Struthio camelus: one gene and its partners. The protein of the gene in region 4 interacts with the protein of the main gene of each other region in a pairwise test. Links are inferred from orthologs where the notes say so. Each region holds a gene or a part of one and is shown on either strand. Other genes may lie near its edges.

The links.
Region 1: the proteins of UBAC1 (region 4) and RNF216 interact in binary tests that used the Homo sapiens proteins (3 or more experiments, as listed by UniProt). The link is inferred for Struthio camelus from reciprocal best matches to the Homo sapiens genes UBAC1 and RNF216.
Region 2: the proteins of UBAC1 (region 4) and TRIM2 interact in binary tests that used the Homo sapiens proteins (3 or more experiments, as listed by UniProt). The link is inferred for Struthio camelus from reciprocal best matches to the Homo sapiens genes UBAC1 and TRIM2.
Region 3: the proteins of UBAC1 (region 4) and CPSF6 interact in a two-hybrid assay, tested with the Homo sapiens proteins (2 studies listed by BioGRID and IntAct). The link is inferred for Struthio camelus from reciprocal best matches to the Homo sapiens genes UBAC1 and CPSF6.

The regions. Positions count from the first base shown.
Region 1 is NC_090956.1:4,718,909-4,726,864, forward strand, and holds the start of RNF216 (E3 ubiquitin-protein ligase RNF216), read left to right. Parts: upstream 1-4,954; 5' UTR 4,955-4,978; intron 4,979-5,039; exon of another isoform or gene 5,040-5,177; intron 5,178-6,175; exon of another isoform or gene 6,176-6,228; intron 6,229-7,956.
Region 2 is NC_090945.1:38,644,168-38,651,352, forward strand, and holds the start of TRIM2 (tripartite motif-containing protein 2), read left to right. Parts: upstream 1-4,170; 5' UTR 4,171-4,334; intron 4,335-4,340; exon of another isoform or gene 4,341-4,869; intron 4,870-7,043; exon of another isoform or gene 7,044-7,109; intron 7,110-7,185. UniProt on the Homo sapiens protein: UBE2D1-dependent E3 ubiquitin-protein ligase that mediates the ubiquitination of NEFL and of phosphorylated BCL2L11. Plays a neuroprotective function. May play a role in neuronal rapid ischemic tolerance.
Region 3 is NC_090942.1:40,603,161-40,610,661, forward strand, and holds the start of CPSF6 (cleavage and polyadenylation specificity factor subunit 6), read left to right. Parts: upstream 1-4,495; 5' UTR 4,496-4,558; coding exon 4,559-4,618; intron 4,619-7,501. UniProt on the Homo sapiens protein: Component of the cleavage factor Im (CFIm) complex that functions as an activator of the pre-mRNA 3'-end cleavage and polyadenylation processing required for the maturation of pre-mRNA into functional mRNAs.
Region 4 is NC_090961.1:3,270,533-3,278,225, reverse strand, and holds the start of UBAC1 (ubiquitin-associated domain-containing protein 1), read left to right. Parts: upstream 1-4,677; 5' UTR 4,678-4,777; coding exon 4,778-4,915; intron 4,916-7,693.

The DNA of each region.
Region 1 (7,956 bases), on a different chromosome or scaffold from region 4:
GTTAAGGTTTAATTGCTGCTCTGGCAGCTCCAGGAGCTCCTGGGGGGACGGGGGTGCGGGTCTGGCGGGTGCCACCTCCCGGCGGTGGGCATCGGTCTGGCAGGAGGCTCTGCAGAGGGTGCTTCCGGCCTCCCTCCTTTAATTCTGCTGGGGTCTTGAGCGGGGGAACCCAAGGAGGTTCCTGATGGAGGTGGTGGGATGGAACGTGTGTGTGTGTGTGTGTGTGTGTACATGTGTTCCCTGGAAAGGCTCTCGATCTGGGGAGGCCTCTGGAGGTGTTCTAGATCTGGAGTGGGGGGTGTGGAATCTGCAGGAGGTCTAGATCTGTTCCAGAAAGGGTGTTTGGAGGGAGGTTCTAAAGCAGGGAAGATCCTGGAAACATTCTAGATTTGGGGAGGGGGGGGTGTACATGTGGAATTCCTGGAAGGGTTCTAGAGTGGAGCACTACATTTAGGATTCTAGCGCGGTGGGATTTGTGGAAAGGTTATAGTGTAGCAAAATTCTTGGAAAGGTTCAAGACTGAGGACATCTTGGTAGGGTTCTAGATTGCTGGACCTAGAACTGGTCTAGGCCAATTAGTCTAGAACAGGTCTGGACTGGCGAACTGGGAAGCAGTCTAGATTCTGGGCTGTTGAGTCCAGAACTGCTCTAGACCAGGGAGTCTAGAATCATTTCGTGCCAGTGAGTCAAGAATGGTTCTGGGTTGGTACAGTCTAAATCAGGGGGGCGGGGGTCTTGAGAAGGTTCTAGACTGAGGATCCGGGGAATGCTCCTGGTTTGGAAATTCCTAGAAGGGTTCTAGAGCAGTGGAAGTCATGGAAACTGTTCCAGATCTGGGAAATCCTGACAATGTTCTGGGACGATGAGTTTATGACCATTCTAGATCAGCGAGCCTAGAATCATGCTAGATCAGGGCAGCTAGGACTGCTCTAGACCAATGAACCTAGAACTGTTCTAGGTCTGAGCCTTTCTGAAAGTGTTCTGGTGCTGGGGAATCCTGGAAGTACTCTAGAGCAAAGAGGACCTTGGAATTGCCTAGACATGTTCTAGTTGCAGGAGTTCCTGAGCAAAGGTTCTAGATCTGGGGTTTCCTATAAAAGTGCTTGGTTTAGGAACACTAGTGCATGCCAGGAATTAAGTCCTAGCCAGGCTCTAGAGCGAAGCTACCCTAGGAGGGTTCTAGATCTGGGAAGCACCTAGAAAAGTTCTAGATCCAGCATCCCCAGAAATCACCAGGAATTCCCAGCAGCAGCAGCCATGGCAGCAGCAGCAGCCGGGCAGGACGCAGAAGTCTGGTTGCTCACTGCCCGGTCCCACGCTGGGCCCCAGCAGCACGGCCCCATCCTCCCCTCATCCCTCTTCTGCCCTGCAGCAAAGCCGGGTGGCCAGGGGCAAGCGGCGGCCGCGGGGGCTCCTGGCCCCGTCGCTCGGAGCTGGGGAGTCCCGCGGTGGCCGTGCAGCACCGAGCACAGCTGGGGTGCCATCACAGCTGGCGGCTCGCAGGGCTTTGGGACTAATTAGAGGCACGTACAGAGCAACACGCAAATGAGCAGCGTTTCGCTGGGGGCGGGTGGGCTGGTGCTGCATGTAAAAAGAGGGAAGGAGGTGGCGCATCCCACGGCTGCAATGACTGGACCCTGATTTCAGGCAGTTAATGTGTTTTCCGTTCTCCAGAAATGGCCGGAAGCACCAGAAATACGGCCAGATCGGGCAAGTCCGGCTCCGGCGGCAGACGAGGCGCTTCGCCGCGTGCCTTGCCGCAGGGTCAGGCGGAGGTCCCGCGCCACCGCAGCCGAAACCCTGCGGCACCGGAGCTGCTGCCTGCGCCCGCGTAGCGCCCGGGGCTGGGGCTCGCCAGCCGGCTCCGTCCCCGGCGCTGCCTCCCGCCGCCGTCCCTGCTCCGTTGGCCTGGCTCTGAAATGGCCCGTGGGTGCCTGCGCGGGGGCTGAACGGGGCTCAAGCATTTGGGGCTTTGCAGATAAGGTGAGCGTGGCGTACGTGCCCGTGCAGCCAAGGGAGAAGCCGCACTGCGTGCCCGACCCTCCTCTCCTGCTCTCCAATCACCCCAATGTCCGGCTGCACCCCGCGCTGGCCCCCGTAGCTGCAATTCCCGCCTGCGTTGCACCGGGACGACATGTCCAGCAATGCAATTCCCGCCTGCGTTGCACAAGGACGACACATCCAGTGTTGCGATTCCCGCCTGCGTTGCACCGGGACAACACGTCCAGCATTGCACTTCCTGCCTGTGTTGCACTGGGACAACATGTCCAGCGATGCAATTCCCGCCTGCGTTGCACCGGGACGACACGTCCAGCGTTGCACTTCCTGCCTGCTTTGCACTGGGACATGTCCAGCGATGCGATTCCCGCCTGCGTTGCACAAGGACGACACGTCCAGCGATGCGATTCCCGCCTGTGTTGCACAAGGACGACACGTCCAGCGTTGCACTTCCCGCCTGCATTGCACAAGGACAACATGTCCAGTGTTGCACCTCCCGCCTGCTTTGCACCGGGACGACACATCCAGCGATGCGATTCCCGCCTGCGTTGCATCCGGCCGACGCGTCCGGCGACGCTGATCTCGCAGCCCCATCTTGTGGTTACCGAGCCGGCGCGGCGCATGATGCCCCAAAGGGCACCGTGCCGGCCCGTCGGGTGGGCGATGCCTCCCCCAGCACCGACTCGCACCACGAGCGCGCCGGGACTAACGACAGCGCTCGGCGCCGGGCACGACACGGCCATGCGCGTCTCCAGCCCCGGGGATGCTCTGCCGCCCACACGCCGAGGGCTGCGAGCGCCGGGGCCGGGCTGCCCCGCGTCACCCTCAGGAGGGGACTCCGTGCAGTGTCACCGCAAAACGCCACGCGGGAATTTGTGCCGGATGAGTCCCGGGCAAAGCGATGACGGCTGCAGGGCCCTGGCCGCGGCTGGCTCGGGGCGAGTCGACGCTCCTTGGAGCCGGGGCAGCCGCCCGGCGGGGCCGGCTGGTGCTTCGGCCTCTCCTCTTCTCCTTTTGCAGCTCTTCTTGTCATTTGGCGTCTTGTCTTGTCCTGTTTTTGTCTCTTCTGGTCCCTTTCTGTCTCTTCTTACCGCTTTGCATCCCTCTCATGCCCTGGTGCCCCTTCTCGCCCCTTTGCATCTTTTCTCGTCCTTTTGTGCCCCTTCTCAGCCCTCGGCAGCTCTCCACGTCCCGGCCTCCCGCGGCAGAGGGGAATACAGGCCGTGACTAATAACTCCCGTTCAGCGATTAACGCGTGCAAACATCTCCCTCCTCGGCCGAGGTCGCTGCCTGGCGCTCTGCGTCGCTGTGCTCGCGGCCAGACCGAAAGCGGCCGGCGCGGGCGTCGCGTGAGCCCCGCCGCGAAGCGCCGGCTCCATCGCGCCCCTTCGCGCTTGGGCGCGCTCGCGTGCCGCCCGTGGTTGCCAGCAATGACAGGGACCCTCTTCTGGCTCAGAAACGGGGTGTGTTGCAAAATCGGCTCAGCTTCATTCAGCCTCTTGGGAAGGGGCTCGGCGAGGCGGCGGGTGCCAGGCAGGGTGCCGCAGGGCGGCCCGACGCGCCAGCCGTCGCCGCGTTTATTGCCCCGGCCGGTGCAGTCTGTCCCAGCCGGGCCGCCTCCGCGGGGTGCTCCGGAGGGGTTCTGCACCCCCCCCACCAGGGAGCTCCCATAGGGCACCTGCACCCCCCCCTTGGCACAGCACCCCCATAGGGCACCTGCACCCCTCCTTGGCACAGCACCCCCATAGGGCACCCGCGCTCCCATAGAGCACCTGCACCCCTCCTTGGCACAGCACCCCCATAGGGCACCCGCGCTCCCATAGGGCACCTGCACCCCCTTGGCACAGCACCCCCATAGGGCACCCGCGCTCCCATAGGGCACCTGCACCCCCTTGGCACAGCACCCCCATAGGGCACCCGCGCTCCCATAGGGCACCTGCACCCCCCCCTTGGCACAGCACCCCCATAGGGCACCCGCGCTCCCATAGGGCACCTGCACCCCCTTGGCACAGCACCCCCATAGGGCACCCGCGCTCCCATAGGGCACCTGCACCCCTCCTTGGCACAGCACCCCCATAGGGCACCCGCGCTCCCATAGGGCACCTGCACCCCCCCCTTGGCACAGCACCCCCATAGGGCACCTGCACCCCTCCTTGGCACAGCACCCCCATAGGGCACCCGCGCTCCCATAGAGCACCTGCACCCCTCCTTGGCACAGCACCCCCATAGGGCACCCGCGCTCCCATAGGGCACCTGCACCCCCTTGGCACAGCACCCCCATAGGGCACCCGCGCTCCCATAGGGCACCTGCACCCCCTTGGCACAGCACCCCCATAGGGCACCCGCGCTCCCATAGGGCACCTGCACCCCCCCCTTGGCACAGCACCCCCATAGGGCACCCGCGCTCCCATAGGGCACCTGCACCCCCTTGGCACAGCACCCCCATAGGGCACCCGCGCTCCCATAGGGCACCTGCACCCCTCCTTGGCACAGCACCCCCATAGGGCACCCGCGCTCCCATAGGGCACCTGCACCCCCCCCTTGGCACAGCACCCCCATAGGGCACCTGCACCCCCTTGGCACAGCACCCCCATAGGGCACCCGCGCTCCCATAGGGCACCTGCACCCCCCCCTTGGCACAGCACCCCCATAGGGCACCCGCGCTCCCATAGGGCACCTGCACCCCCTTGGCACAGCACCCCCATAGGGCACCCGCGCTCCCATAGGGCACCTGCACCCCCCCTTGGCACAGCACCCCCATAGGGGACCTACTCCCCCCCCCCCCCCATAGGACACCTGCCCCCCCTCGGCAGAACACACGCCTGCCCCCTCCCCTAGCGAAGCACGTACCGCCCCTCGCCCCGCCCCTTTCCTCGCCCCGCCCCTTCCTTCCAGGCCCCGCCCCTTCCCTCGAAACCATTTAAAGGACGGAAGGGGGGCGGAGCAAGGCCGCTTGGAGGACCGCCGCACCGCCTCTATGGTAGGTTTGCCGCGACGGGACCGCTCCAGCCGCCTTCTTTCTCTCGCCGTTCTCCTCCCCCCTCCGCTCTCCCGGCCTCTTCTCTATGGTGCGGGGCGGCGCGGTCACGTGGCGCGCGCAGGCCGGAAGGAGCCGGGCAGCGGCGGCTAAATGAAGCGGGGGTCGGGCGGGGCGGAGCGGCGCGACCCGGCCCGGCCCGGTGAGTACCGGCTGCGGGGCCGCGCCGCCCCCCCCCCTTTCCTCCGGCCCGCGCCTGCCTGCCTGCCTGGCGGAGGAAGGAGGAGGGGGGAAGGAAGCGCGGCGGGGGGGGGGAGGGAGGGGCGCGTTGCCGGGTGCTCGGGGGCTCCCGCCTCCCCTCTGACCTTGGGCGGGGGCTCCGGGGCCGCTACCCGCGACCCCTCGGCCCGGTCCGTCGGTCAGACCCCCCCCCCCCCATGCTTCCGCTCTCCGCCCGTGAGGTAGCTGAGCCCCTGTGCCCTCGCCCCCGGGGAGTTAGAGGCGTCCCTTGTGTCATCCCCCCCCACCCACCCGTGGGGCCCCGGGGACCCTTGTGTCACCCCCCCCCACACACACACACACACCCCGCTGGGGCCCCGGGGACCCTTCTGTGTCCCCTCCTGCTGATGAGGCCCCGGGGACCCTTGTGTCACCCCACCCCACCCCCATGGGGCCTTAGGGACCCTTGTGTCACCCCCCCTGCCAATGAGCCCCCGGGGACCCTTCTGTTCCTCCCCCCCACATGGGGCCCCGGAGACCCTTGTGTTGTCCCCCCCCCTTGGGGGCCTGAGGTCCCTTCTGTGTTGTCCCCCTGCTGATGAGGCCCTAGGGTCTCTTGTGTCACCCCCCTGTGGGGACCCGGGGTCCCTTCTGTGTCCCCCCTGCCAGCAAGGCCCTGGGGACTCTTGTGTCACCTCTCCTGCCCCTGTGAGGCCCTGGGGTCCCTTGTGTTGCCCCTCCCCTACCCCACCTCCATGAGGCCCTGGGGTCCCTTGTGTCACCCCTGCCTCCCCTGGCTTCTCCCTGCCCTGTTGGGGGACCTGGTCCTGCTGGACAGTCAGCCCGAGCAGGGTGAGGGGGCTGGGGGTGGGTTGCAGCCCCTCTCCGAGGCTCCCCTCCTGGCCAGGTACCTGTGCTGGGGGCTGCGGGCTCCGGTCCCTGCTCAGGGGCCTGCTCTGAGTGTGGCTTGTTGATTAACAGCTGCCTGCTACGCTCGTGTCGGCAGCTTTGCCCCCACAGCGGAAAGGACCAAGGTAACGTTTTCCTGTGCTTGCGTTCATATGCTCTCTCGATCCGCTCCTTTCACGTATGTTACCCTGTGTATTTTTGTTTAAAAAGGGAAAAATGAGTGGGCTCTAGAGCTGATCAGAAAATATGGATATAAGCTTGCTCTTCTCCTCTGACCTCATGTCTTGTTACGGAAACACTTGGTGCCATTTGGACATCTTGACATTTCAGGCATCTGCTGTGGGAGCTACTGCAAGAAAGAAACCCAAAACACAGCTGTCCTCAGAGTTGAGGGATCTGTCTGTGTAAGAGATACTCCTCCTTCGCTCTCTTCCTCTGTTTCTCTCTCTATTGATTTGAACGCTAGCTCAGCGTGGTGAGAGAGCAAACATGGGAAGTGCTAATATACACAGCGTTTATATAATAAAAATCTCTGATCTGTGTTTCTGCCTTTGGAATTACACTTGTTCCAGCAAATGACTGGAGGAAGGTTTGCATATTTTCATGAAACATGCAGCACTGAAGCACTCTGAGATTTAAGAGTTTTAGCTAACTTTTAGCATGCTTATGAAGAAATCAGTGCGAGCTAATCAATGTAGTGGTCCTTGTTCATTTGGAATTGAAAAAATAGCCTAAAACAATAATCATCTCGCAGATCTGCTGGCTCTGCGACTCTGAACTCTCTATTTGAATCCCTGTGTGGCAGTTGATCAGGTAACTGCCATTTGTACTTACATCTGGCTTGAATAGTTTTCTTTTCATCTTGCATGAAGACATAAAGCATTATCTTTTAATTTCTTCTAATATCTTAATTAAACTTTTTGAAAGATACTTAAGCAGAAACAGCTGTCATACAAAAAAAGTCAAAATTTCTCGTCATCTTTCTTAATGCTTTTCAAGCCAAGTTCAATTCCTTAAATGAAATATTGTGATTCAATCACTGATTTGCAATCTCTGATTTTTTTTTTTAATTTGTAATACTATTGCTGCTGTACACTTATTTTTGTTATTGAAGCGTAAGGCTGAGTGCTGTAGGAGTGTAACTCAATTTTTATGCCCCTTTCACAGGGGCTCTTCTTGTGTCTCTCTTTAAACCTATTGCCTTTAATACAAGACAGCAGATTGATTTTTTTTTTTTTTCTTTATTTCAGCCAGCAAGCCAAAAAGCAATGACTAACTGCCTTGGTAGCTAAAGGGACAGGTAGTCTTAATGCTAAAACCTATGAGTAGGCAATTGTTTCCTTGCTTTTCTCTAATCTTTCTTATGATGATTTTTTTGTCATATGATTTCTGCCATCTAGATAGATACATCCTTGGAGCCACTGCAGAAGGCTTCCAGCAGTAGCACTGGAAGGGAAAGCAGGTGTCCCCCGCAAGGTGACTAGACTAGACTTTACACACTTGCTTAGAAAGTGGCCGCCTCCTGCCTTGTGCTACCTGATTGAGAGTGGAGTAAGAGCTTTTCTCCCCACGACCTGTTTGGTAGGTGAGGGGGGGATGTGTCTGAGTCCCGTTGCTCTGAAGATGCAAATCTTAAGCTCTCTGGTACGTTGCTGTACAGGTTCCCAGGTACCATACCATAGGAGTGTACAGTGCTAACTGCACAGTGGGACCTTATTTCTTTAGGACTAGTAGACTTGCAGGGACAGCTTTAGTTACAGAACTGCATGATTTACAGCTTTAATCTGAGTTTTTCATCTCTAGCACCAACACTGTGCAAAGTTTCACAGCCTTGCACTGGGCCTTTTGATACT
Region 2 (7,185 bases), on a different chromosome or scaffold from region 4:
TCTCAAATAAGTCTTGCAAAAAATAATTTTAAATAAGATGAGAGCTATGGACATTGCATAAGAAAAAAGATGAAGTCCTGAGTTCAGGGCTGAACGATTTAAGTTCCCACTTTGGCCTTATGCAGGTCTCTCTATTTTTCTACATCATGCAGCCCTCTTAGGAATAAGACGACTTGTATTTAGCTACTCACAGGGTTTATCTGAGGTGAAGCACCTTGCATAGAGATAATGCTTTGCATGTCACATTGTAATAATGTGTAATTTCATAAAACAGTCTATGTTCCACTCTCCAGGCATTTGAACATCATCTCTGCACCTCACCCTAGGGAGTGACTAGTTCATTGGCCATGTCATGCAATCATATCACAAAAACCTTGGGGACTGTCAGTGTTTAATTTGCCTTCAATGAAGCCTGCCAGATCAGCTTACACTATTTGTCACTATTTTTGGGCCTGGCTGCCAGAGCCTTGGCAATGATTTCTGCTTCTAAAACAAGGAAAGAAGTAGGCAGGCCTGCAGTGGGGAGAGTTAAATGAAATTGAAAGCCATGAGAAACCAAGGCAGAAATCCACCTTTGATCTGTTTCCTGTGTTCTAGGCTAGATGAAATCAGATTAGTTTTAATCCCCGTAATGACTATCTCCTTGGCTGAACTTGGGCAAGATCCTAAGTGCAGGGACTAAGGCCGGCCATCTCTTACTGGAGATATACTGATACCTAGTGAGATGGCCACTCCTCAGCCTGATGCCCAAACAGCCTATTCTATGCTTGAGGAAGCAGAAAGTGCCTATGAACTGAATACATGGAATATATTTACAGACGTAAATGGAGATGAATTCAAGTTGAAGCTGGTTCCATGCTGAGCTGGCTAGATGTTACTTAGCTCGGTCCAGAAGCCATGCAGCTATGTCAGCTTTTGCTGTGCTCAAGCTGATAAACCATGTTGGGAGAGTTGGTACAGCTATAAAAAGTAGCTGAATTTTCTCACTCTATGGCATATCTTTCTTTCTATTTGTTAGTAAATTATTAACTTCATTTCTTTACCTTCTCTTGTTATAATATTAATTTATCAATTTGTCCCTGTTGCTGTCTTTGCGCAATGTACTCTTTGAAGTTCAAGGTTTTACCTAGGAAAACTATCAGAACTACACAAGTTTTAGTGACAGCTCAGCTCTTTCTGATCTCCTCAAGAAAACTTTTCCTGCTTTTCTTGGAATATTATATGGAATATAATTTATAGGAATATTCCTGCTTTTCTCTTCCTAAGGCTACTAAGTATGTATTTCATTAGACATTGTCTAATTATAGTGTAATTGTGTATATAAGGTTCATTTCAAAGTGGATATAGAAATGTTATTGAAAATGTTTTCTAATTTCCATTGTTTAGTTTGAGAAGGCAAAAGATTATTAGTGATACGCTGTGTTTTGTATGTCCAGTGGATAGAACATGAGAGTTGTGGTTCAAAGATCTGAAGTCAGGGACGTCTGACTCCTGTGTAACCTTTGACTTGGTGTGTGATGTTTGATTAAATCATAAAAGTTCCAGTCCTCGAAGGTATAGAGGGTGCGCTGGTGGTGGTGAACTTTCTCAAATCCAATTGGAGTTAACACCGTGCACCAGATCTCCTTGTTTTAAAGTGTAAAAGAGATAAAATGTTTGATGCTTTCACATCCTCTTGGAACACTTGAGTTTTGCAGACAAAAAGGACCAATTCAAGATGTACTGATCTGCTTGTTTGTCTAAATAGACTTACTTTATAGATCACTTTGGGTATTCAGTGCAATTTGTAGAGGGATTTTCTTGTTTAATTTAAAGCTCAAACTTTCCCCAATACAGGAAAACCCCTTTGGGGGATTTTGGATTATGGAACATCCCTTGTTCTGTCGCTTGTGGCACCAGCAGCTTGTTGTGAAACCTTGGTCTTGGTTCTTGAGCACCAGCTCTGAGAAGCAGCATCCTAAATAACCCTTTGCCTTCAGAGAGCATAAGTCTCCTTTGTAAAAGTGTCTCCACTACACAGGAAAGGAACATAAGCACTGTAGGTTTTGAGGCAGTGCTTCCGGCCTGCCTTGTCCGATCTGGAGAGCCCTGCTGCACAGTGGAGTTCACGAAGACTTTGCCTAAGTGTTGAGGAAATGTTCTGTGGGCAGAGTGTTCTTCTCTGTTCATCTTCTGTATAGGAGTAGAGGAGAAAAATCAGACTCCATATATATTAATATATTTTATTCCAATAAAATTTGCTAGATTGACAGATCAGGAGAGATCTTTATCCACTGAGTCACAGCATAGATACCTCAGAAGCAGGTTTTTACTCGAGTTTCCCCAACACCATTCTTCAAACTGAAATCACTTGATTTTGTGCAGATGTAAGTAGGTAGCTCAGCCTTCCACACTATTAGACTTTTGATTCGTACTACCAATAAGGGGACTGTCTGCAGGGCAGGCTGGAAGGGAAGACATCTGCCTACCCATTTCACAAGGGTCACTAAACATTTGTTATGTGACTACCATTTCATGTCAAATCCAACCCAGGCAGGTCTTCAGCTGCTGACTTCAAGGCAACCCCCCACCCCCAGGCTGCACAACGCCATGACCAGGGCTCTAACTGTCCCTTCTTCCAAATATGATCTGGTAGATCCCCACAGTGGATGCGGGCAGGTTTGTCTCCTCTGAGCTGAGAAGAAAGTCATGTGAACAGCAATGTGCCTTTGCTGTTTCTGCTCCGCTGCATTCTGTGCCTCACTGACTCGTACAGCTCCTTTCAGGCACTTCCTCACATTTTAAGGTTGCACAGTTTGCTAATGAGTGACTTTGAAGCTGACATTTCAGTTTTGAATGGGGTAGATGTGTGCCGCATGTGGGTTTATGTCATTAAGTGAGATCCTTGTTGCTGGGAGAATAAATACATGGGAAAAAACCCTCTGCACTTTAATATGCAGTATTGATTGCTACATTGAGCCATAATGTCAACTAAATGTCTCCCTTCCTCCTCACTTCCCACAAATGCTAAGTAATAGACTTAGTTGACTGGAATTTACAGATTATTTTGTCTTTATGAGTGATGCAGTGGCAGTGCCCCCTAAGCTATTACTTAATTAGTAGTAACATTTGGGGGTTTTATCCTACCTTTCTAATACAGTTTTAAAATAACTGCACTTCTTGTCCCCAAATCAGATCAGCTCTTGATTTTGTAATTAGAATTGTGGCGTTACATTATTTTAGAAAAGAATCTAGGCCATATACATTATGTAAGGTTGCCATAGGAACGGTTTCTCAGGGGGAAAACGGCCTGTCCGTAGTTTCCACAGAAACGGCTCCCCGCTGAGGCAGGTGCCTCCAAGGGAAGTGAAGGGAATATAAATGAGAGCGAAAAGACACGCACAGATGTTATATGATCTCTGTGGCATCCCTACATTGTTACAAATTCGACTGTACGTTTCTGGGTTTATTTTCAGTTTGTAGTTTTTGATTGTGTGACCAGCACCATCCTCCTGTCATGTAAACTTTGCTCTTACTTCCCTCACATGGAGCTGGTTTTGCAGCTGGAGGTATGGAAAAGCTCTACCTTGGCAGTGAACTGAGCCTGACCACAGCAAATACTGAACTCCAGTGCTCTAGGAACCACTGTGCTTGGGACAATTGAAATGGTAAATGAGAGTTTTCCCCATTTTAAACTTTTTTTCCCCCCCCCCCCGAAAGAAATCAGCAAAGGCAGGTATGGAAATGCTTCCTTCCCGAGCGGAACGGGGAAGGAGTGAATCTTGATTAATTTGTCAGTTAATGGTTTTGTTCTTTTTGGGTACAAGTATACACTCCCAGGAAAAATGTATGCTGAAAGATGAGGAGGTACTAAAAAGAGAATTAACTTGAGATTTAGGATTTTTTAACTGAGGAATAAATGAGCAATTTCTTTAATGTATTAAAATGTCACTGGGGCAAGTATGAATAAACATTTCTGAAATCCTTTTGCATAGTTCCTTCAACAGACAAATAGTGTTGATTTATTTTTTTCTTCAAGGGCAATAAAACTGTGACATTCATTCAAGGCTTAGTGCGGCCATAACTACAGATTAATGTGCTGGCTACTTCATCTTTATTCTGTCATCTCTCTGCAGCTTTATGGGGAAAGTAGGCTGACATGGTTATTAAATCTGGCAGCTGTGTTGTATGCACATGGGAAGCAAGTAGAGCACAGCATATAGAAAACGAGTAGCTTTCAGACGACAGCCTCCTTTTCACTGCTACTAGGCTTGAAAGGCAGCCTAAAAAGCTCTTTCTCTTTGTAATCAGCAGTCACTGGATCAGCGAGCAAATATCACAAACACATTGCAAATGTAAGTATTCCTTGCCTATGTGCTGCTTTCAGATTGCTAATTAAGGTTTCTACCTCAGTGTTCTGGCTGAGACGGCGGAGAGATGAAAGCTGAACTCGTTCTCGCAGGGAGTGCTGCTCTGCAGTACTGTTTTGGCTTTCAGTGCAAGAGCTACTGAGAGAAAGGCATACAAACAAATAGTTTGCAGTTGTGTTCGCTGATTTTTGGGATGTCTGTTTGCCGCTTCGTCTGCGAGGGGAGAAGTCAAGCAAATGCAGGGAGCGTTTCTAGATAGATGGTTTTCCGTTTAGATAATACGAGATACACAGTGAGAAAGCTCCTTCAGCATTAATAGACTGCTTGTGAACACACAGGAGAGAAATCTACCGTGTTTTTTTCACCTGGAATCTTTTCTTGAAAAATCCATAAACGCAGAACTGGACTTCTAATTAAGAAACTCGACAGTACCTTATGATTAGAAGCACAAACAAAATGTCATCCTAAGGGGGACCAGTAAGCCTGCATCTGAGCTGATAAGAACAATGAACATAGCACGGTGAGCGATGCATGTTTTTCACCAGTCTCTCACTCTGTACATGAAGAGGATCTTTATCTGCTCTATGGCATGAAGGCAGGATAGTATGGTGGTCAGAAAGCAGTGGAGTGGCAGGCTTCTCAGTGTTGCGATGATACCGTACAGAAGAGAATTGGTATTTGTTACTGTTTTTTAGTCTCATGGCACTGTAGAAACAGGATCTTGATTTTTAGAGCCTTCTTTCTAATTCAAAACTTCTGTAGTGCCATTGTCTTACTGAGTTTATAGCTGGTGAGCTCTTATTATGCTGTGAATGAAATGTGCTTATTGGAAACACTCTGTAATCAGTACCGAGTGCAAATGTCAGATAATTGCACAAGAAATGGAGGCTGTAGCCAATTTGTTTGAGTTGCTGTGTCACATTTCTTGCTTTATTTACAGGATTTGTTATTTCTTGGGGACCGTGATGGTACTGCAAGCGTTTTATGAGGCATGTGAAAATGCCATTATCACAGTTAACAGGTGACTGTCATGAACTGATTTGGAAGCAACTATTTATGTTGTATTTGTTGCTGCAAGTACAGGGCTCAACATACTTGTGGTATAACCCCCTTGATACCGCTGTTACAACACAGGTATATTTGACCAATCTGTTGTTTAGAAGCCACTTTTGCAAAACTTCATTCTCATCTTACAGATGTTTACATAGAAATGGGTCTTCATTGCAACAACTGAAAGGTGGTTTGGGGCGGCTGCTCTTCCTCTTGTATCTCCTTTTTTCCTCATAGACAAACAGAAATTCATAGCTTCCCTGAAACTTAGCTATGAAAATGGTCATTTTTGATGGCAGCTGGTGAAGCTAAGCTTCCCAAGGCTGAATGGCAGCCAGCCAACTGCTCAGACAAGTGGTGACCTTTCAGGACGATGTCTTTCACAAAAATGTCAAAATATTAAAATGGCAGACATCAAATGCCATGTGTGCAGGGAAAGGTTGTCAGCTGGCAGACTCTCAGCTGAAAGCAGTTAATCCACTGCTTGCCTGGATTAAACATTGAAAGCCCCTACATAAGTCCCTAAAACGTAGAGAAATCATTCATACGTGCCCTGAATCCTTTCAGAAGTTCTCCTGGGAAGATTTGGGACATAAACTGAAAAATTTCAGAGGTATTTTATTTAAAATCTGCTCAGGGATCTTTCTTACAGATGTCAAAAAAAAAAAAGCAGCTTTTTGCCTTTTCTGTTGCACTTTGCATCGTATACTAGTTTTCCTCTCAAATCTTTTATGCCTGATTATAAATTGATCTGGATGAAGCCTAGGCAAAGTTCACTGACAGGCTGAAGGATGGTGAGATTCTGACAGCATACGCACTGACTTTTTAGGCAAATCCTTGCTGAATGTTAAAGAACCCCTGCAGCTCTTGGTGCTGCAGCTCTGAGCTGGAGCCTCGCTTGCTGCTCTGTGCTTTAAGGCTTTGTAACTTTCTTCGAAGGTGCTGAACCCTGAGCATTCCCATGCTTGCTGGTGTGTCAGCATCCATCCCACAGATAGCTGTATACCCTGGTAAACAGCACAGAATTAGATCACTGAAACTGTGATTGCCTGCTTTGTTTCCCCTCCACGCTCGTAAATATTTTGAGGAGGTGCGAAACTGCCCGATCCTTTACCTCGGGCTGAGGAAAGCTGGGCAGTGTACATGGTTGATCAGGTAAAATCTTTTTACCTTGAGGTTGACCTCACCTGTAGACTAAGAAGGGGAATACCAGTCTATGCACCAGTCCAGTCCTGACTGGCCAGTTAGGAACTGGCTGTAGTTAAGAAAATTGTTAGTATTTCCCAAAGTGCAAAATGCAAGGTACACTGCCAACACAGGTACCCCCTGTAGATCTGTCAACAGCAAGACCAAATCCATCATCATTTACTAAGGTACTGAAAAGGAATATAGTCCTTTCCAGTGTTTGTTTCTTTTTTTTTTTTCCCTTCCCTTTCAGGACAGGAGTTCTGTGTCGCTTCAAGTTCTCTCTCTCTACAAGGAAATACACTTTCCATCTGTGTTTTAATGTCCTTCACCCCTATTCCTAGGGGACCCTCCTCACCACCTGACTCTTCAAAACTGAGAGCCTCACGTTCCTTGACCGCTTTCTTTTTCTGTAGACATAGAAAAGACTAAGTATCTCTGTTGGTCTTTTCTTTCCAGTCAATATTCTGGGATCACTCCTTCTCTCTCCTAATTCCTTACAAGAAGAATTATGAATCAAATGAGGTAGGTAAGGACAAATTCCCATAAACATCTTGCAGAAATTAATCCTTCCTTCCTTCTTTCCTTTCAGTGTTCTCCA
Region 3 (7,501 bases), on a different chromosome or scaffold from region 4:
CATGCAAATCAAGGGTGTGAAAACGCTGGAAGAGTCTTTCCAGAGTTGTGGCAACAGCTTTTGTGACAGGCATTGTAGCAAAAAAGACGCAGAAGAAATGGCTTAAAGGCTTATAATTTGGATGCAGACAAAGTGCTCCAGCTCAGGAGCCTTTCTGGGATCTAGCAGAGCAATCTAGCAGAGCTGTGTAGATGTAGCTGAGGACCAGTGTCAGACGGGTTGGCATGTTGTTTGAGTAACGTGTTACCTTCTAGTTCCAGACTTAATTCTGCTTATTTATGGCATAGTAACTATTGAAATTGCCATTCCTGAAATCTGGAAGTGTATAATTTTCAAAAACAAACCCGACCATTGTGGGTTGTCTTGTCTGGACTTCTAAATAGTTGAGCTGTAAAGAGAAGAAGCCTGGGGAACAGCGTTGTGTCGGCCTGTGCTCCAAAACGCTGAGGCAGTTGCAATGCATGAGTGAATCGTGAAGACTTTTTTTCAAATTCAGAATAATTCTTGATAACAGAAGTAAACAGAAATCAAAAAAAGAAAAATGCACAAAACCCTATGCAGTTAAGTTACGCCAGAGCTCAAATACTTTGAAAAATCAACAACATCTGAAAGTAGTTTAGATAGTGCTTTTCCTTTGTTTGCATATGCATATAGCGCATTCAAAGAAGGATCTGTTTAATGCATTTAACGTATTTAACAGGTTTCAGCCAATTTAGAAGAGGAGATTAATTGCAGAAAGGTATTGCAAAGAACAGGTTAGTGCTGAACGTAAGGGTAAAAATAAAGTTAAGGAGAGAGGTTTTTAAACAAATAGAAAGTGAAGCTATCCAAATAAACAGTGAGTGATCTAAAGCTGAAAATTTGATTTCATAGTTTTCTCGAGCCAACTGAGCCTTCCGATTAATGGCTTATAAGGCAGTGGATTCAAATTGGACAATTGAAGTTATTACCATCCCTTGCTCTGTACTTACCTTCCTGCCTTGAGGGTTGGGAAATCCACACTATTAGTGAATCAGCTCCTGATTCCCTGCAATTTTCAACCCGCCTCCGAATCACTGAGTGAAGAGCTGAACCAACAGAACGAGTAGACTGACGGACAAAAGAAAAGAAGGAAAAAGTAGGAAAAAAAAAAGAGATGGAACTCTATACTTATGTGCATGAGCCCAAAACAATTGAATACCTACAAAAAGAGGAACCTGGGCAAGAAATGAGTTATACAAATACTTTCCTACACAGTTGAGTCAGTAGGAGGTCTTGCAGATGCTCTTAGGATTTAGTTTCATGCTACACTTAACCCAATCTAACCGTGGGCTGCAGCCAGAAGAGGAGGTATTTACTGCCCCTTTCCCTGCACAGGCTGTGCCACTACCTCTTTTGGAATGAGAACATGATGATCCCTTTCCTTGTCAACCTGCAATTACATTAGCGTTAACATAACATGAAATTTCAGCCTTCTAAAACAAGGACACAAGCAAGGAGTTGTGCCTATTTGCCACCTCATTTGGGACATGCTTCTTCCTCACTCTGCTGTCTGAGCAGTTTTATGTGCTAAGGCACTTCAGTGGAAGAGACAATTTCTTACAGTTTGGAATGCACAGACTTTTACCATTTGGATACTTTTATTGGGAGAAAAACAATAAAAGAGCATGCCCAGTGGCTCCAGGCAGCTTTGGCAAGATCGAAAGCTTCAGGGCTACGACTAAACAAACAAAACATATATTCAATGCAATGGGACTAACAAAGCTAGGACGTAAGTTTATACAACACCACATACAGGTAGATCTCAAGTAAGCTGCTTTTGAGCACTATCCTGATTACACAGCACTTTCTGGAATCATTTCTCATCTTTTCACTTTGTTGTCTGTAACATTACTGCGTGAGCAGCTTAGTCTGATACTAAGATGAAAAGTGTGTTGGAAAGTTCCTTTATCATTCTTCGTCTTCACTCCTCAGGGAAATTTCTAACATATATTTATTTTTTTAATTTAAAAATATATTTTTGCTGTGTTCATGGTAGAAAAAATAGAATATTTTCAAAATTGGGATTATATTGAAGCTGGTTCTGCCACTTTTACCTGAAGCCCGACGTTTAAAGGTATTTTGAAGTAATGACATACAAACAAAGATGAGGGGAAAGCATTCTCCTCCCCTCCGTCTTGCAGCTGTTAACATACTAGTAGAAGAGGCACTGAAAGGCCTCAGAGAGGCAAGCACAGAGAGGCTTGTGGGCTAGCAGTGCATGCTTCATGAGGTTCAGAGCACCCACAGTTGCTTCTGTATTCAAGATCAGGATTATACTTTCTGTCATTACAACAGAAGAGACCAGTGAAACAACATACAAATGAACAGGCTCTTGTGGATCAATGTGAAACATGAGCTTAAAGTATAGACCACTTTCCCAGGTATAGTCGCCAGCGTCCTGGCTTCCTCCTGCTTTTGATATCTAGCAAGAGCTGGAGATGGAAGAGTATCCGATGGTGTGAAAGAGGAACTTGAGCAAGACATTAGCTTATCTGCCACCATTTGCTCTCATGTTACCCTCCGGCTTTGGAAATTGTGCAATTACTTCCTATTCCATGGCTTTTACTGTCCCAAACAAAGCTTATGAGGGCTCTTGTCCCAGACCACGCTGCACCACAAATATTCTTTCATAATTACATTTCTTTTTCAGCCCATTCTCTGCCTCAGTCTTTTGAATTTTACTGGGAGGAGGCAGTGAATGGTATACATAATTTTGATGTATACAAAATAGAAAGCATTAACATTTTCATCAGAGTTGATCAATTGTTAAGTTGCTCCATGGAGAGATAATAATTCACAAAGATGCTATTGCTGACCACAAGAAAGTTGAAGACATATTTAGTGAGTCTGCTCATGAAGAAAATGAAAACACAGCAGAAAGTAAATAGAACAGCTTGCATAATGTTTACAGTCTCCTACACTGTTTACAGAATTTGCTTAATGATATGTATGCAAGAATAAAAATAATCACAGTATATTCTGTAGAGGTCTGCATGCAATAAATCCAGCCAGTGCAACTGTTTAGAAAAGCTCCAAGGTGGTAATGCCTCTTGAACCCAGAACACAGCATAGAGGGCCCTACGGGTCTCAGTGATGACCCTTCCTTATCTTACAGAGCAAAGAAGAGGCAAAGTCTTTTCCTGCCTCTTCAAAGACTCCTGACAGGGTCCTTCCAATGCTACTGATCCCTCAGGTGGTTTCTGAGGTGAGCGGAATGACTTCCCCATTCATATTTAATTTCTTTGCCCTTTTATTAAACATCATTACAATCTATGCATAACTTTCCTAAGATACCCAGATGCATATAAAACACCCAACTGCACACAGCCTAGTGTCTCCTATGAATTCTTATCCGATCATTAGGACAGCAAGGGGTAAGTTGTCTTGACCTCAGTAACTTTGTGCAGCACAGCCAGATGGGCAAAACTATTAAGTGCCATAGTCACTAAATCATTTCATCATGAAGCAAATCTGTGAACCCTTTTAGATTTCAATGCTGTAATAGTATCTGTATGCACAGTGACAAATCCAGAGGAAAAGCCAATCTTCCTTGCAAAACCAATGGATCATTTCATCCACACATGACCTATACAGTCGTAGACGTGAACTGGTATTTAGATTTTTTTTTTTAATTTAATTTTTTAAATTTGCGATTATCAGTTGGGAAACAGCACTAAAAGTTCAGGCAGGGGGGTTTGTTTGTTTAACTACCCTCTCTAACATGTTTCTTCAGCTGATACCTCCGCTCTTGCAAAGGCTAACGGACCTGCTAGTTCCTCTATAACCAGGAAACTCCCAGTGCGTTTGCGAGCAGACTCCCTGCCTGAAGGCGTCTGCCTTCCCGAGTCACTGACATCAGGAATGATACCAGAGGCCTGTCCCTCGTATAGTTTAACGTGCCACGAGCTGGATAAGAACCCCCGGGACTAGCCCTTCAGCAGCTCCTAGGTGCCCCAGCAGACCCGCTTGCCGCGGTCCTCTGCTGTTTCCGCTCTTTGCTGGTCCGTCCGCCTTTCCTTCCAGGGGGGCGGCACGCACCCGAGGCGGGAAGTCAGGCCGGGCTGCAACACGCAACCCCGGCCCAGCCGCCGCCAAGCAGCCCCAGGCACGGGGAAAGACCTTCCGGAGCAGCCCGAAATTACCACTGAAGCATCTTTACTGCTTGCAGCTATGGTTTCACCTTGTTTTAATTCCGCCCCAGCCACGTCAGCTTGGGTGCGGTAACATCACCGTTCTTCCGCCGCCGGCCGCAACAGGAAAACCCGGCGGGCGCCCAGTGGCGGGGGGCCGGCAGGACGGGCAGCGCCGCTCCCCCCCCCGCCGCCCCGGCCCCGGCCCCAACGGCCGCCGCCCCGGCCCCAACGGCCGCCGCCACTTCTGCGGCGGCCGGAAGTCCCTCCCGTCCCCTCCCCGCCCCTGGCGGAAGTGACGCGTGCTGCCGTGCCCTCCCCCCCTGGCGGCGGCGGCGGCGGCGGCGGCGGCTCGGGAGCCGGGCGCGGCTGGCGGCGGCCCGAGGCGCGGCGCGGCGGGCGGGATCATGGCGGACGGCGTGGACCACATCGACATCTACGCCGATGTGGGAGAGGAGTTCAACCAGGTACGCGCGGCCGCGCCGGGCCCCTCCCCTCCGCTCCGCGCCGCGCCGCCTGCAGGGCCCTCGGCGCCGCGGTGGGGCCGGGCCGGGCCGGGTCGGGCCTGGCGGCGCCATTGTTCGGCCGGCTCCGCGCTGAGGCTTTGCCGCGGCGGCCGGGCCCGATGGCGCCGTCGCTGTGCCCCTCGCCGCGCCGCGCGGATGGGGCTCGGCCGGCGCCGCGGCCAGGCCGCGTTTCGGGCCCGGCCCGCGGCGGGGACAGCAGGGGAAGGCAGGGCCGCGCCGCCGTCTCGGAGGGGAAGCGGGCGCCGAGCATGGAGGGAGGGAGGGAGCGGCTGCCTTCCCGCCCTCCCTCCGCCAGTGGCCGCGCAGCAGCGGAGCAAAATCCCGCTCCCGCCGCAAGAGGAGGAGGCCGTCAGAGACGGGACCCTCCCGGATGTGGTGGGGAGAGTGGCTCCCTCCCGGCGGCGGAGGGGAAATACTGCCATTGTTCGCCCATGAGTTTTTAAAAGAAAAAAAAAAAAAGAAGTCGCCGTGCGGGAGCCGTTTCTCGGCCGCTCTTTGCGGGGGAGGTTGAACTACTGCGGCTCTATTACGCAGGAGAGGAGAAACTGTCTTCTTTTCACTCTTTCTTCTCGCCTGCTCCTTAGAAAAGACATTACTTCCCTCCTCTACAGGAGGAGCTCCCTTTTGGTGAGGAAGTGGTGTTGGAATAAACAGGACTTCCCTGGCTTACAAGTAGCCGATTCCTCTGCTTCCTTTTTTCCTCGTATCTCTCCCAAAAAGTAACATTCCTACTTTCCCGCTGAAATCTGATGTTTGAATCAGATTTGCGTGCCATCTGTCGTGTTTGCAACCATGCCACTTCTCTAGGTTGTGTTGCCCCAGATTGCGTTGTTCCTGCCCTAGAACGTAAATAACCAAGCACGGCTTTGCTTCCACAGATTTACCAGGCTTACTGAGTGAGGCCCAGCGCTCTGCCTGCCTGCCTGCCCTACAGAGAACTGAGAGACAATAGGTTGTGGAAGTCGCAGTTAATTTGGATAGCAACTCATAAGTGTCTCAGGAAACTTGAATTCTTTAGGTATTTATTGATAAAGTAATTCAGAAGATTAGCAGTCTCACAAAGGTATACCATTTAGGAATGTTGGATCAGATGAGCAGACAAGGGAGAGAACTGAATTATTCTCTTAGTTTGCTCTTAGATTGTCTAGAGGTGAAGATTTCACTCTTACAATTGAAAGTTCATTATATGAAACTAAATTAGGGTAACCCAAGCACAAATACCATTTTATCGTAAGAGTACATCTGTTCAGTTTCTTTATTAACTTTTTTTTATCAGTTCCAAGTAGGATATTGATAGCTAATTAAGTAATTCAGAACAATTAATTGAATCCAGTAGTGCTGGTGTAAATTCACGAGTGCAGAAGCCCTCAAAGTTGAATAATTTATGGCTGCGAGTATAGTGCAGATAGATACTGCCAGAGCAAAACTGATGGGGATATTCTGTTTCGTGCAATATAACAACGTTCTCCTGGTCTGCTCAGATACTGGCTGATTTTGACATTCTCTGTAGCTGTGTTACTAGGGAGGATGATTTTACAGATGAAGAGAGTCTAGTGATAGTCTAGCTGATGCAGCAGTCAGGAACACCTTTTGGTCTTTTTGCTGCACCCACCCCTGTTGCCTTCCTGCTGGGGCTGTGTTTCTGCACTGTTACTTCCCCTGTTTGTGACTCTGGCAGAACACAGAGCAGAAGAATAAGAAGGAATTGGTGCCCCTTTTCCCTTAGCGTCTCTCTTTTATTTGCAAGATTTTGCTGCTTAGTCTTTTCAAAGTTTGATTTTCATGACTTGCATGTTGTCTCGGACCTGCTCGGTTGAACAGTATTACTTTAAAATAGAAAGCGATAGTGGGAGACATTGACACCTCTGCACTTTCCCCGTTTTGTTCTGTCAAGCATGAAGGAAGGCTGATTGTTGCTTTGTACAGTATTGCTTGCTGCCTCTAATTCTGACATTGTTGTGATGGGTCTTTTTAAAAACTGTTTCTGGTGATTTTTGATTTGAACCTTACAGCTTAAATTGATAAGACAGAGAGTTGACTAATGCTGTAGGGAGAAAGTGATTAGCATTATTAATCTGTTTACATAGCAAACGTTTTACAGGGTGCTGTATTTGTAAAGAAAGCTTGCTATATGTGTAAAGCAGTAAACGATTGTTCTTGGATTGGGTGGTGCTAGGTTAATTTGATTCATGAATACTCATTTGAGTTGGTCTACAGGAACCATTTCCACTAGTTTTGCCAGTAGCAGGGACTGAAAATACACTATTCTGGCTTTGTCATTCTTCTGAAGTGCAGAATAACTGTATTTTTACCCAGGCCAGGAAAAAACTTTTCCTTACATCCGTGGTGTTTCAAATAGGTCTGTAAGGACTTGTGATTGGATGAGTTTCCCTCCATTGCTTTGTCCTGTTCTGGGCATCAAGATGCTCCTCTTGGGTCTCTTCTGGGATTTTTATAGGCATCCTTCTAGGAGAAGGGATGTTCCGCTTGATTATTGCTATATGAGTCACAGGTAAGAAGGGTGAAATACAGACCAGAGAGCCCCAGGTTTACCAGCTGGCTAAACTGGATGAACGTGAGAACTGACGAGGGTGGTATTGGTGCTGGTTACCGTGATCTGGCTGGCGCAACTTGAAGTCAAATCTTTTTCCTTTAGTGAAAGCACATCCTTTCCATTCCATCTGGTGCTCATCAAAACTACATGCCTATGTTGCCTTTCACCTTTCATCAACTTGCCGTTCATCATATGTATATTCTTTATCCTTATGTTTACAGCTCTTAATCAATTTGGCTCCTACGGATTTTATTTATTTATTTATTATG
Region 4 (7,693 bases):
TTGAACGCTCGCAGGTAGCGGCACCTAATACCGTCCCTGGCCATGGGGAGCTGCGGCGGAGAGCCCAGCGCCGCACTGATAGAGCAGTTAAGCGAGATAATAGACTCGCGTTTGGAGAGGCTGGCAAGCCCCGTATAGAGCCCGTGCTTAAACAGGGCCATTACCAGCCGGGGTAAGCACTGATAGAATTGCATGAATATCCCCGCAAAACGCTGTCTATATTTATAACAGCTGACGGAGTAATTTGGAGCACAGTCAGGGGGCTCTCGGAGCGGCTCGGGAGTTAAATCGGACACAGATGAGCACGCGCCCGCAGTCGGGAATCGGCCACGAGCCCGGTGCCCTCGCGGCCCTGCGAACATCCCAGGCTGGAGCTGCTGGGCGCAGACGGATCCTGTTGCTTCCCTTGGCTGCTCTCCTAGCAGCACCGCGCAGGGTGCCCCGGCGCCCGTGGAACAGCTTGCCGAACGCAAGACGGCCGCAGGCCCGCGCTGCCCGGAGCCGGGGGAAGGAGAAGCACGACGTGGTCCAGCGCTCCCCTGTGCCCGGGGGAGCCTCTGCAAGGAATTCACACTCTTAACCTCTGCAGCCGAGCAGCAGGAAAGCAACTTCCAGGACATATTTATTGCTTCAATTTAAATGAATAGGTATTTTAAATTTACACAAACTTTACCTTGTAACTTCTGCAAAAGCTGACCCAAAGCGATAGGTACACAGCTCAAGTGCTAGCCGTAATAAAATGCTAATTGCAATTCATAAATTATATTGGGATGCCTGGGACTATTGAAGATCCTGGATGAAGTGTAGTGTTCAATTTATCCTGTGCATGTTGCCGACAGTGCTGCCAGCCTCCTCCTTGTCCCCCTGTGTTGTTTTGTCATCTCTGTACTATCACCAATTCATCACAAAGGCAACTGAACTCTCCAATGTCCACCCACCAGGTGACTTTGTCTTCGCTACTCTATGACTTCTAAATTAAATTGTCAAAACACATTACCGAGAAAAATATTGTGAAGGGAAAGTTCTTTACCCTTTTATCCCATCTTAAGAAAGAATCACTTTGGTTTGAAGAAAACACGTCTGCTTCATTATCCTTCCCACTATCATATTTCTTCACTCAGCAGCAGCAGGAGAAGAGTCAATACCAGAGTCTTGGATGACATGATGTAGCATCCCCCAGGAGCTGTCTCGATAAATCCTGAGAGTGCCCAGGCAAAGGCGGAGGGGGAGGGGGTAATCTCCACTCCCTTTCATTCCTCCCACTCTCAGACAATTCAAAAGAGATTATGGGTTTGTTCAAAGGTTCCTGGTGGAGCCTTCCCTGAGCTGGAGGATCCTTGCTCCTCCAGCGCTAGCTGGGCTGGAACAAGCTCCTTGAAGGACTTGCAATAGAAGAAACGGGGCCCAGGAGAAGGCACAGCCGGAGCACAGCCGCTTGCGGAGGAGTCCTTGGATGTGCGACCTCCCTAGAGGGCCACAGGCAGCTTGCAGGGGTGAGAGTAGCCCCAAAACTGCTCTGATTTGTACCGAGCATTCGAGGAGCTGCAGCCTGCTCCCCGACATCTCCTCTTCGGTTCCTCTGCCCCCCAGCTAGGGCACAACCCAGCAAGGCTTGCACGCTGCAAAGGGGTTTGGACTGAGCTTCGTGCCCCCCTCTAGCCAGTCTGCTTTCCCCACTGTAAATGCAGAGCAGCCCTCAGGCCAAGGCCTGCAATCATTAAATCAGTGGGAGTTTTGCAGTGGGACTTGCATTGTTCTCAGTAATCCAGGAGATACCTGCTGCTAGATGCAATCACATAAAATAATTCAACTGGAGGCATAAAACAATAGAAGCCATTTCTCAGAAGAAAAGAGATGTTGATTTCCACCTTCTCTCATTCACACATTGGTCTCTGGGCATAATGTATCAGTCATGAAAAGCCAGTAACACATTGTGCACTCATTCTTTTGGCTTTGGACAATATTAACATAACAAACATGCATTGTTTATTTATTCTGCTATAGTGCAAGTAAAGCAGGTAATGCCCTGCGTTTAAATGGGATATTTTTTAATGCCCACATTTCCTTAGCCGTTATGATGCATTAGCCATCAGTAGTCAAATTGCCTTGTATTTGCAGTTTTATGGGTACATTTTATCAAGCACACAGGAGCCGCACTGAAAGCACAAAAATAAAGTATTCCACTTGTGTTAGGTAAGTACTGTTTAGATGCAAGATACGGCCGTCCAGGAGAAATCTCTTTTTTTTCTGCAGCAGTTCCAGATTCATCTCCAAATATTGCTTCCACTTGCAGTAAGGACTGCCAAGAGCCTGCTTTATGGCTATGTAACATCCATGCATCCTCCACGCACTAAGAGCTCACAGCTGAATTCAGCCTGCCTTGGAAATCACCTGAGTGTTTCTTTGCTGTTTTAAAATATCTCCTAACAAAACGTTATTGTTGCTCTTCCCCCCAGGGACGCCGGCTGCCGGGGTCACAGAGCGTCGCCTTCCCGAGTTGGCAGGCAGCCTTTCGGCTCCCCCAGTGAAGCAGTAAAAGCCCCACTGAACAGCTAACGCCAGCAATGAGAATGAAAACGAGCCTGACGGCTGCTGCGGGGAGCTCGGCCTCTTTCTGGCAGCCGCAGCGGATCTTGCAAGGACTGCAGAGCAGCCGCGCGGTGGGTGAGCAGCCGGAGCTCAGCGTCACCGGGAAGGCCACCGCCTGGGACGTGGTGTCCCTGGGCGGCCGCGGGACTGCCCCGAGGGCTGGCCACAGAGATCATGGTTGCTCCAGCGCTGCGGCGGGGGGCACCGGCACGGTGAGGGACTGGCCCGGCGAGGGCACCATCACAAGGGCCATCGCTGCCAGGCTCTCCCGGCGTCGATGGGTGGGGGCAAGAGGTTCGCCAAGGGGGAATGTGCTCCTTCTCGTGGTCCCTCGGAGCTGGCGCCCAAGGAGCTGCAAGGGCTGCGGCACGCCAGTGAGGTTTGCAGGAAGGGACGAGCTGCCTTCCTGTCGGGGAACCGCGCGTGAGGCTCTCCAGGATGACGGCTAGCAGTCGCCGACGTTGCAGGGTATAAGCGGGCATCTCCGAGCAGCCGCCGTGGGTCGGGGCTTGAGTAGCACTTACTTCTTTGGTGATGACCCAAGCTAAATCTGCTTTTTGGGGTGATCAAATTTTAATTCTCCGGAGCTCTCAGTTCCATTTCGCGTAACGCTGTATTGCTGCTAATGTCTCTGGGTCTTCTGATTTTGTCTGGATTTATTTCTCCCAGGGAGCTTTATCTGCCTTTCAACCAACTCCAGGCTGAGTGTGTAACATGAATATTACAGCGCTCACTCTCAGAGATGAAACGATGACATATTCCTCATATTTTCCAGCCAAGTACAGCCCTGTTTAATACATACATAAATAAACAGCAGCTATATCTGCAATGCCCTTTTTTCACTTCAGGCTCCTTTTAACAGTACATTGAACATGAAAAATCAGACTCTCGGGCTGCAGGCAGTAATCTGGGAAGGCAAAGCAAACCAATATATATATATATTGACTCAGTAAGTGGGTGGAAAGCTTGTGACCGGCACTTTGCTACCAATTAGTCTTGAACATCAGCACATATTCCCAGGAAAATGGCGCGCCGGCGCCCTTCTGCGCCCACGAACCCGCGGAAGGGCCCGGGGTACGGCAGCGAGCCTGGACGGGCCTCTTGGGCCTGGACGTAGAAGACCCTCATTAGAGGGGGGCAGCAGGATGGGACGTAGCCGTGTACGGGCCCGAACGCCCTTCGGGTCCCTCCGTGCACGGGCGCCAGCAGCGCGCGGACAGGAGCGCCTGCCGGTTTGGAGGCCCCTGGGGCGAGCTGCCCTTCCCCGGGCAGGGACCAGGCCCGAGGCCCGGGGTGGGGGGCGCAGGCCCCAGCGGCGAGGCCCAGCCGCCTCCCTCGTCCCATCCCTGCCCTAACCCGGCCACCAGCGGCAGGGAAACGGCGTTTTTGTCCTTAAAAACAAAAAACCCACATGCCGTGAGGAATTCGTCGGTCCCCCCCCCCCCCCCCGCCCCGGCCCCCCGGCCCTAAACACAGTTCATTGTCTCCCTCTAAAGGCCGAACGGAGAATTTCGTCCGCCCACCCCGCCGCCGGGCCCCGGCCCGCCCGCACTACAGCTCCCGGCGTGCACCGCGGCACGCGGACTACAGCTCCCGGCGTGCACCGCGGCAAGCGGACTACAGCTCCCGGCGTGCCCTGCGGCGGCGGGACGGACCGCACCTCCCACTTTTTTTTTTTTTTTTTAGAAATAGGCCGAGCCGCCACATACCGGGCGCGCTCGGCAAGAATGACTAAACAGCGGAAAGAAACAAACAAACCAAAAAAAAAAAGCACGTCTCAGAGGAACCCCCCCTTCCGGCCCCCGAGCCCGTTGCGGCCTTCACTTCCGGCGCAGCCTTTGTTGCCCCGCCCTCCGAGCGGCGAGGCAGAAAACTACAACTCCCGGCGTGCCGCGCGGCGGCGGCGTCACCGCCCCTTCCGCTTCCGGCCGCGGCGGAGCGCCCCGGCCGGCCCGCCCGCGGGAGCGCCGGTGCCGAGGCGGTGACAGGAGCCGCGGCCGGGCCGGGGCCGAGCGCCGCGGGCGGCGGCAGCAGCAGCAGCAGCAGCAGCGCCGGGGGCGCCCAGCGCGCTGCCTCTGTCCCAGCGGGGCCCGGCCGGGCTCCCCGCCGGCCTCCCGGGGGGTCACCTTCATGGGCGGGCGGTAGCGCGGGGCGCGGGGCCTGCGCGGCGGCGGCGGGGCCCGGGGCCATGTTCGTGCAGGAGGAGAAGATCTTCGCCGGGAAGGTGCTGAGGCTCCATGTGTGCACCGTGGAGGGCGCCGAGTGGCTGGAGGAGGTCTCGGAGGACACCACGGTGGAGAAGCTCAAGGAGCGCTGCCTCAAGCACGTAAGGAGCCGTGGCTGCCCCGGCCCTCACCGCTGCCGCAGGGCGCCGGGGCCGCCTGGGGGGGAGCCTGTGCCGAGATCCTGGTGCTCTCTGTAACGCTTGTGTTCCCGAGCTGGGAGAGAAAGTCCTAGCCGCCAGGAGGGGTGAGCAAGCGCTATTTTGTGAGGGAAAACAGATTTGTCTAAAAATCTCTTAAATAGCAAAAACAAACGAGTGTTTCTGTGTTTCAGCTCCTGGTCTGCCATATCTGCTACTCGCTCCTTCCCCCTCCCCCCGGCTGTGTGAAACACTTCCATATAGAAAGTGAATGCCTGCTTCAAGAGCTGTATGTGTTGGAAAAGGGTGAATTTTGATGGAAACTGATTGCAACCTTTAGTTATAGAATCCCGCAAGCGTGTGGCAGTAGCAGTAAAGGTAGCCAACTCCTGCGTGCATCTTAAGCGGTTGACGTGCTGGTGACCGTGCGTTGCGGGAGATAACTGGAACTGGCTTCTTATGATTTCCCATCAGAGACTAGAACATGTTTTGTTTCTAGTTTATTTTTCAGGAACAAACAAGGAAAGTAGTAACTGGTGGAGAACTGTCCTTTTTTTGAAAAAATTCCTAGTACAGCCTTACCCTATGTTGGCACAGTAACTAGTGTGGGTTTCAGTGGGGAGTTAATAGACTAATACTCTCCCGGCGCTCTAAGGATTAAGGTCTTAATGGGCATGTTCAGAGAGTAAGTTACTAATCATTGTCTGGAAGAGAAAATATGTAAAAAATATACAGCTGCGTTCTGTAGAAATTCAGCTGGAAAACAGAGGTTCTTTGTATTCATTTGTTCTGTTACTTGCTTGTGTGTTTGGGGGTGTTAAACACTGAAACCGGTGGCTACAAAACTGTTGGGTTGAACTTCGAAGATCTGCCATAATTGTGTTTTATTTTAAAGCAGAGACATGATTGACAAGAAGTGTATAAGATGGTGATCCATGACCAGGACTGTTCTAAAGACTGGCATTCTGGGACCGGGACAACGCGGCTTGACAGCTTGAGTCAAAAGCTGCTGAAATTTTTACTGAGAGACCTAGTGGAGCTCATTTAACTTTCAGGTGAAAGAGGCCAGAACCTCTACTCCCCCCTCTGAAAAGGACTGCATGGAGTAAAAGGGTTTTCATCTTCAAAGCGTTACAGAGGTGTTAAGGAATGTTGTTCCTCGTAGTAAAACACAATTACAGTATGAGAACAAACCTGTGCTATGTAATTAGCTAACCACAGCTTGAAGTAACTTAGGTTGTGGTAAGCTATTTAGGTTGCTTTGCTCTCTGATGAGCAGGTTGTAAAGTAAGGATGGACAGCAGCCCAAGTGCCCTCTGCAGTGTGCCTTACAGTTAGTTTTTTAACTAGAACCTCTGGAAACTACAGGTCATGGCGCACATTGTTCTGTCTTGATCCACAGTCTGCAGAGGTGCCTTTTGATTTAGAGATGAGAATGGCTGCATTTGGGTTTGCTGTACCTGAGGTAGGTGTGACCTTTTTGAGGCAAAATGAGGGTGCCTTGCTGAAGAGAACGGGTGAAGGGCCCTCTGTCTTGTCCGTGTTCTCGGAAGAGCTCTGGTGCTACTGTCTGGTCCTCCTTCCGCACAGCTGAGTGATTAAGCAGAAGAGTGGTGCAAGACTGCCAAAATAGGGTGGAGTAATGATTACACGCATATGTGCAGAGCTGAAGACCTTTAATTCTCAAGAAGCTTAATTGAATAGACGCATGCAATGTGAGTCAGGGCAGAAGACAATTGATAACTTGGTGGTGATGTTTGATTTCATCTCTCTGCTTCTTTATGCTAATGGTGTGGATTTGCATAACCATTATGGATAATATATCGTTTTATGGAGAGGGAAAGTAGAAATGGAAAAATGTCTAGTACTTGGTGATCATAGGCATGTTGCAATGAATCTTGATAATGCCTTGAGATAACTTATGCAGCCACCTCTCATGCTGATTAATATAATCCCGAAAGTTATTGAAATTGTTCTTTCAGGAAGCTAAGGAAGATGGCATTCACCAGGGTGTCCAGTTTTGAATTAGGAAGGTGGGCCCTCTTTCTTCCTCTATAACATTCAAATGTTTGCTAATCTCTGAAGAGTCATTTTTGATGTCTCTTTTTTCCCCTTTAAATGTAATGTTTTTTGCTCCTAGATCAAGCAAAAAGCTTCCCCTAGTTTTATCTGTTGGCCTGTAACGATTTAGTGATGATGACGCACCATTAAACTGCTACTTTCACTAATATTATTTAGACTGTGGAAAAAATACTTGGTAATAAACTATTTCCTTTCCTACTTATTTTGAATTGAAGTTTTACCATTAAAATGTTCTTTCGGAACAGTGACTTGTCCCTGCGCAAAGCCCCACTGCCTCAGCAGGAGCTCCTTGTGCAGCCCCGCTGGCACAATCGGGCCCCAAGGTTTCATGAGGTTTCTTTAAAAAGAAACCGTTCATCTGGGACCCAGAACTGGGAAAGTTCAGTTTAACCACAGAAACTCAGGCATAATTTGTCTGTTTTCATGATCCATAATTCTTGTGCCCCAGACTGACGTTTCAAGTATAACACTGCTTTGGCTGAAAGTGCTGCAGAAAGTCCTGATTCTAATACTCTGATTACAAGGGATCATTGCTTCTTGCTGACACTCAGCAGTATTTCAGAAATACTAGTGTAAACTGTAATCACGTGCTTAAGGATGGACAAGTGTGGGCTCTGTGTGTGTAAGTTTTACCTATGATTTGCTTGGCAATGTGGGGCA